2 linked regions of the Callithrix jacchus genome follow. The protein of the gene in region 1 purifies or fractionates together with the protein of each later gene. This does not show direct contact. Links are inferred from orthologs where the notes say so. Each region holds a gene or a part of one and is shown on either strand. Other genes may lie near its edges.

Evidence for each region.
Region 2: the proteins of KPNA6 (region 1) and RNMT purify together in Homo sapiens (co-immunoprecipitation; 3 studies listed by BioGRID and IntAct, counting the BioPlex papers as one, with this or other methods). This does not show direct contact. The link is inferred for Callithrix jacchus from reciprocal best matches to the Homo sapiens genes KPNA6 and RNMT.

The regions. Positions count from the first base shown.
Region 1 is NC_133508.1:68,772,446-68,776,264, forward strand, and holds part of KPNA6 (importin subunit alpha-7), read left to right. Parts: intron 1-32; coding exon 33-158; intron 159-461; coding exon 462-589; intron 590-3,150; coding exon 3,151-3,329; intron 3,330-3,819. UniProt on the Homo sapiens protein: Functions in nuclear protein import as an adapter protein for nuclear receptor KPNB1. Binds specifically and directly to substrates containing either a simple or bipartite NLS motif.
Region 2 is NC_133514.1:48,708,401-48,712,219, reverse strand, and holds part of RNMT (mRNA cap guanine-N(7) methyltransferase), read left to right. Parts: intron 1-1,527; coding exon 1,528-1,645; intron 1,646-3,819. UniProt on the Homo sapiens protein: Catalytic subunit of the mRNA-capping methyltransferase RNMT:RAMAC complex that methylates the N7 position of the added guanosine to the 5'-cap structure of mRNAs. Binds RNA containing 5'-terminal GpppC.

The sequences.
Region 1 (3,819 bases):
TTTCTTTTGTTTCCTTTGCATTTGTGTTCTAGGTCATTCTTAACTGTTCAGCCCTACCTTGCCTTCTCCACTTGTTGAGCAGTCCCAAGGAGTCAATCCGGAAGGAAGCTTGCTGGACTATTTCAAATATTACTGCTGGCAACAGGGCTCAAATACAGGTAAAACAGGCAGGGAAGTCAAGGGGCATGGGAACTCCTACGAACATGGGAGGTTGTAGAATATTTGCTTTTAGAAGAAAGAATTTGTTTCCCTTTAGAAATTAGCGTCAATGTGTGCTATTGGTCAAAGAAGCTGTGTAACCAAAACTGGCTTTTTCTGTAGCCTGTCACCTGTATAGGAAGAACAAAAGAAAACTCCCAGGATGGGGAAGATGTCTAAGTCTTAGCTGATTTAGGGACTAGATTTATTTATCTTCCTGAAATGACTTTCTCCTTCCGTCTACTTCCCCTCAATTTTCTCAGGCTGTTATAGATGCAAATATCTTTCCTGTGTTGATCGAAATTCTTCAGAAAGCAGAGTTTCGTACAAGGAAAGAGGCAGCCTGGGCCATCACCAATGCCACATCAGGTGGAACCCCTGAGCAGATCAGGTATTCTTTTCTCATTGTCTTGAATGATATGGATGCTCTCCCTTATGGTTTGTAAGTCACCATAAACTGCTCTTGCTCAAACAGGTCTGCCGTCTAATCCGGCTATAATAGAATTTTACTGGTAAACTGCTACAGTGTCACTGGAATCTGGAATAGATTCCATGTAGGCCATGTGGGAATCTATTCAGTGACACTGTAGCAGTTTACCAGTTTTCCCTTCTGGAGAAGAGAAACATGACCTCGACATCCATCCTTTCTCTACCTTTTCCTATCCACCAGAGATCTAAAATCTATGTAGTTCTCAGTCATTCCTACAAATCAAGGCTAACCATGCTGTGGCTCACTCAAAACAGTTTCTTCAGCCTGGCCAACATAGAAAGATTCTTATCTCTACAAAAGATATGAAAACTAGCCGGGTGTGGTGGTTTGTGCTGATAGTCCCAGCTGAGGTGGAGGATGACTTGAGCCTTGGAAGATCAAGGCTGCATTCAGCTGTGATTATACCATTGCAGTCCAGCCTGAGTGACAGAGCCAGAGTCTGTCACACACAAATACACGCACAAAAAACAAGCTCACCGATGTGGTGGCTCATGTCTGTTATGCTAGCACCTTGGGAAGCTAAAGCAGAAGGATCCTTTGAGCCCAGCAATTCAAGACTGGCCTGGGCAATATAGGGACATCTCATCTGTACAAAAGTGTAAAAATTAGCAAGGTGTAGTGATGTGTGCTTATGGCCGCAGCTACTCAGTAGGCTGAAGCAGGAGGATCACCTGAGCCCAGAAGGTCACAGCTGTAATGAGCCATGATTGTGCCACTACACTCCAGCCTTGGTGATAGAGCAAGGTCCTGTCTCAAATAAAAAATCAGCTTCTTTGGGAAATTAATTTAGGGTATGAGACTTGAAAGAAGCAAATAGAACGCTGTTTTATATATGTGTACTCTTTTTTTTTTTTTTTTTAAGATGGAGTTTTGTTCTTGTTGTCCAAGCTGGAGTGCAGTGGTGCAATCTCAGCTCACTGCAACCTCCGCTTCCTGGGTTCAAGTGATTCTCCTGCCTCAGCTTCCTGAGTAGCTGGGATTACAGGCATCCACCACCACACCCGGCTAATTTTTTGTATTTTTTAGTAGAAATGGGGTTTTACCATGATAGCCAGGCTGGTCACAAACTCCTGATCTTGAGTGATCCTCCCACCTCAGCCTCCCAAAGTGCTGGGATTACAGGTGTGAGCCACTGAGCCTTACTCTTTTATTTTAGTTTCCATTATCTGAACATTAGTGGAAAGTGGTGGGAATAGATAGGTGTCTTGCCCTTGACTTGTTGCCTATTAAGGGGAGCATAGTCAGTATATATAAAGCGTTAGGGCCGGGCGCGGTGGCTCACGCCTGTAATCCCAGCACTTTGGGAGGCCAAGGCGGGTGGACCACGAGGTCAAGAGATAGAGCAACATGGGTGAAACCCCGTCTCTACTAAAAATACAAAAAATTAGCTGGGCATGGTGGCACGTGCCTGTAATCCCAGCTACTCAGGAGGCTGAGGCAGGAGAATTGCCTGAACCCAGGAGGCAGAGGTTGCAGTGAGCCGAGATCGCGCCATTGCACTCCAGCCTGGGTAACAAGAGCGAAACTCCATCTCAAAAAAAATAAAAATAAAAATAAAAAAAATAAAGCGTTAGGAGAGAAGAGATAGCTGTTTAGTTAAGCTTTGAAGGATAAATATGGAGTTGTAAAAGGCCTCTTAGGGAAAAGCATAAATAAAGGTACAAGAATCACAAACCTGGAGACCTTTATGAGTGTGACTAGAACGTATTGTCCTTGGAAGGGAATAATGGGAGGCAGACCTGGAAAGGAGCTAGGAGCCAGATAGCAGAGCATCCAGACTGAGCTGGGCTTGTGGTATTATGGTATTGTTGTGCCATATAATTTGGAGTTCAGGGAAAAAGGGAGCCTATGAAAAATTTTAAGCAGGTAAGTGATGTGTTCAGAGTGGTAATATTGCAGCCAAGGAGAAATTAGAGGCAAGGAGGAGGAAGATGTGGTAGCATCTACATGTGAAATGAACTAGACCAATATCAGCAGGAGGATAGAGAAAGGATATGTGGTTATCAAGGCTTAGTAAGAGCAGTGGCTCACACCTGTAATCCCAGCACGTTGGAAGCCCAAGGTGGGAGGATCACTTGAGACCAGGAATTTGAGACCAGCCTGGACAACATAATGAGACCTTGTCTCTACAAAAAATAAAATTAGCTGAGCATGGTGGTACATGCCTGTAGTCCCAGCTGTTTAGGAGGCTGAGGCAGGAGGATCACTTGAGCCCAGGAGTTTGAGGCTGCAGTGAGTTGGGATCGCACTGCACCCCAGCCTGGGTGACAGAACAAGACCCTGTCTCAAAAAAAAAACTTAGTTGGGGAACACTCTCATTCTGTGGCATGGAATGAGGTGCTGCACAATTCTTAAAAAAAAAAAAAGTGATTAAGAATGGGTTGCTGAGAGTGCAGAGCACCTGCCCAAGCACTTCATTTGTTCTGTATTAGTTTAGAACTTGCCTGGTCTCTGGCCTCTAGGTACCTGGTCTCACTGGGTTGCATCAAACCGCTATGTGACTTGCTGACTGTAATGGATTCGAAGATTGTGCAAGTGGCCCTCAATGGACTGGAGAACATTCTGCGGCTTGGAGAGCAAGAGGGCAAGCGCAGTGGCTCAGGGGTCAATCCCTATTGTGGCCTCATAGAGGAAGCCTATGGTATGTGTCTTCTCCTCAATCTAAGTCAGAACCTGAGACTGTAGGCTTCTAATGTGGTATACATATGTTGGTGGTGGCAGACTGTGAGTTAGGGAGCATCCATAGCTTCCATGTGACTTACATCTGTGTCTCCAAAACAGTTAAGAGCTCTTGCCTTAGCCAAGTTTCACCATCCACAGGGTTTCAGACATTACCATGAGTATAACGGACATGTACTGAGTAGCTCGGGTACAGCTAGGGTTTGGATTTGGCTCATCTTTTGAGTTCAGATTTGTCTCCCACCCATTTCTTCTTCTAAGTAGTGATAAATCAGTTCTTTTTCTGTTAGGCTGTACCTAAGAGTGCTGAATTGACTCATCACCCATCCCTGAGAGGTTGATGATTTGCCCAGGTCATGCAACTAGTTTAAAGTGGAATCAGGACTAGAACCTCTGTAACTGACACTTTGGTCTCTTTCCTTTGGGATTCTGTAGTTTTGAGAAGAGATCTT
Region 2 (3,819 bases), on another chromosome or scaffold:
TATAGAAACCTCAACAGCCCCTCAGCATTTGCCCTTACCCTATCTCCTCAAATGCCACCCTGTATACAAGCCCTCCCACCTAACTTTCAGGATTTCCTCCCTCCCTTCCACTCTTGTTTTATGTGCTGCCTGGAGTCATCGCCAGATACCCTCTTGTTGTCTACAGATACGTAATTATAAACTTGGCAAATGCAGTGAGGAAAAAAAAATACCTGAGAGTCTAACAGAGAGACCTAATATAATTGAAGATTTAAGGAAGACACTTGTAAAGTGATGTTTGAGTCAGGATCTAAAGGATAGAATAGTAGGTGGGCAGCTGAAGACTGGAGGGAAGAATGCTCCTGACAAGAGGACAGTGTGTGTGAGAGCCTTGCAGTGGGAACTCCAGGCTAGTCCAGGATGCTGAAAGAAGGCCCATCATGACCGATCATGGGGGATGTCCCAAAATGAGACAGCATTCCTTTACAGATGAATATCTTAGAGACCATCTTCTGGGTCCTGAGTGCATTGGAGCCCAGTGGAGAGTGTTAAGGAAGGTAGTGACATGACTCAGGTCCATATTTCTGAAAGCTTAATCTGGCTGCGACTGGAATATTCATTGAGGGAGAGTTAAGAATGGAAGCAGGGGACAAGCAAAATGAGTTTTTGGACTGGTACCACTAAGTGGTGATTGTGACTGAAGCAGCAGGATTGTGCCAAATGCAGGAAGTAAGAAGTGGACCTATTTGAAATTGATATTTTCTAGGTAAAGTAGAGAGGACTTAGTGATGTGTGTTGAGCACAGTGGGTAAAAGAGGGGGAGATGGCATGGATCATTAGATTGATTTACTGAAATGGCAGACACTGGCAGAAAAAGAGTAGTGATGTTCAGCCTTAGATGTGGGAAGTTAGAAAGTGCCAGTGACACATGCAGGTGAAGATTTTTAATAAGCAGTACAATCAGTGAGCGACTAGAGAGAGTTGAACTACAGATAGCTCAGAGGTGGAAGAGAGTAGGGCTCTGGGCCGAACTCTTCAGAATCTTGAAGTTTAAAAGTTGGGTTTTAAAAAAAAGAAACCTGCAAGTAAAAAGGAAAAAAAAAAAACACACAAAGAAGCAGTCCATGATGGGGAAAAATTAATAGTGTTTCTTGCCAGAGATGTCCAGAGATGAAAGTGAATCTTTAAGAAAGAAGTCAGCAGCTATTTTCAGTGCTGCTATGAGAGATCACGTAAAGTAAAATGGAACCAGTAGAAAAGAAGATAGCTCTTCTTCCCTATCTCATCGCTCCAGAGACTCTTTCATTTGCTTCCTGACCTATGTGTTATACTAAAAGAGCTATCTGAAACGCCCTGAGATTTAGAATGCATATTTCTTTTAGGTATGATATGTTATTTTTGATTCATTTTTTTATTACTCTATTGTGAATTTATAGGAAATGGTAGCTTTTTTAGTTAAGTCCAGAAGATGTCACTGTTGTACAAAAGTCAGTTGAGGAATTACAAACATTTTGGAAGCTTTTTCATTAAGTATTCTTTTTTGGACAGAATGGCAAAGAAATACAATATGAAACTAGTCTACAAAAAAACATTTCGGGAATTTTACGAAGAAAAGATCAAGAACAATGAAAATAAAATGCTGTTAAAACGAATGCAGGCCTTGGAGGTGAGTTTTTAGAAAAAATGTGAAAATTCCAGTCATGGTGAACTTGTTCGGCTGTTCTTGAGATCCTTGCTAGGCCATCTGGACATGAAGTAATTATGTGTATTACACTCTTCAGCACTTAGGACAGAGCTTGATGCAGAAACTGCATGATGACTGTTCAGTAAATACTTGATGAAAGAATGCTGTTACCAAATTTTGTTTTCTAGATAGTACTGCTTTAAAATAGGATTTCACAACCTCAGAACTGTTGACATTTTGTTCTGGATAATTTCTTGCTGTGAGATGCTGTGCATTGTAGGAGATTCAGTAGCATTCCTGGCTTCTACCCACTAGATGCCTTCTAGTAACACCCTTGTCCTCAGTTATGGTAACCAAAGAACTGTCTCCAGACATTGCCAAATGTCCTCTGGTGGGCAAAATTGCCCCAAGTTGAGAACCAGTTCTTTGCAACAGTGTCTTTTGGTTACAAGAGTAATTTAGAACCTTCCTGGCCAGTGTGCACACAAGCTCATACCATGCATAATTTCGTTGTACGGTAATTGTTTAGCAGGGTTCCAGTCTTTTAGACTGTATTGTTGCTGAGACCTCTCCTGTCCTAATGCAGCAGTGAAGGTATCTATGTAAACTTCAAGCACACAGCCATTGTTTGTTTTTCCTTTTTCTCCTTATCAGACAATATCTGGTCAGACAGACCTAAAATATTCAGTGAACATATTTTTTATTGATCAGTAGAATCATATTCATCAAATGGATATTAAACTTCTTTAGAAAATTTATTCAGTTTAAGTACTTTAAGCACTTAACCTTATAATTACTTCCATGAAGTAGGCAGAATGGTAACTTTTCACTTTTTTTCCGATTCTTTTTTTTTTTTTTTTTTAAATGACAGAGTATTGCTCTGTTGCCTAGGCTGGAGTGCAGTGATGCAATCAGAGCTCTCTGAGGCCTTCACCTTCTAGACTCCAGTGATTCTCCCACCTCAGCCTCCTGAGTACCTATGACTACAGGCATGTGTCACCACACCTTGCTTATTTTTAAATTTTTTGTACTGGTGGGGTTTCACCATGTTGTCCAGGCTGGTCTCAAACTACTGGCCTCATCAAGTGATCCTCCCGCCTTGGCCTCCCAAAGTACTGGGATTACAGGTATGAGCCACTGCACCTGGCCACTTCACATTTAAGTGGGCAGCCTGAGGCTCAGAGGATAAACGACTTGCCCAAGGCAGTATAGCTACTGACCTTTAGAGTTTCCTCAGTTTTTGTAGATGATACTCAAACAAAAGTCTCCTGTTGAAGTTGTTCCTGCACCCAGCCACTCCCACATGTCGAGTGGGAAGACTTTCTGTAAATTCTAAATTGTCTTTTGAGAGACATAATCAATAAAATGTTATATTTTTTATACTTTAGATCTAAGAATGTTTGTATTGGCTTTATCTTAGGAAGGTAGGCTTGTTTTGTTTGTCTTGAGGAAGAGGAGAAAACTAGCAAAACCATGTGTGAATAACTTCCCCACCAACCCCACACACACATGCATTACCTTTAGCATATTGCCTTTATTTGATGGTGTTTTGCGCGACAGTGATCAATTATTTAGCCTTTCTCAGCATACAGGTAATGAAATCACTTGTGTAATTTATGTCAAAATGTACTTAGGTAGTAGGGTATGGGGTAACAAGAATGTTATGGCATGTTATTCCAGTGAATAATGCAGTCCATGGTGGAAATTTTAGTATTACAGACACATTCCAAGTGCAGTGAGTATATAAACGACCTTTTGGGAAGAAAGGAGACTGGAAGAGACTGAAAGAGGGCAGGCAGAGAAACCTGAGAGCAAGGGGATGTTCAACGAAGTAGTACTAATGGCTTTCACATTTTTTCAACAATCTTTCTTCTCTCCCAGTACTGCCCTTGAGGATATGACCTGTTAGCATGGCTGTCTGGGGACAGAAACAGTAATAACATGCAGTTTGAAAATTTATTTGGTTTTCCTACTTCTTGACCAAGTCACTCTGATGGGCCTGTAAAGGACTTGGATCAGGAAAGGACATGACCAAATAAGAGTTAGGACACTAGTTGGGTGGCATAATGGAGGATGTTTTGGAGGGACGTTGAAACCAGACCAAAGGTGGAAAGAGCAGTCGGACACCACTGTTTTCAACTAGGTCAGAGGTTTAA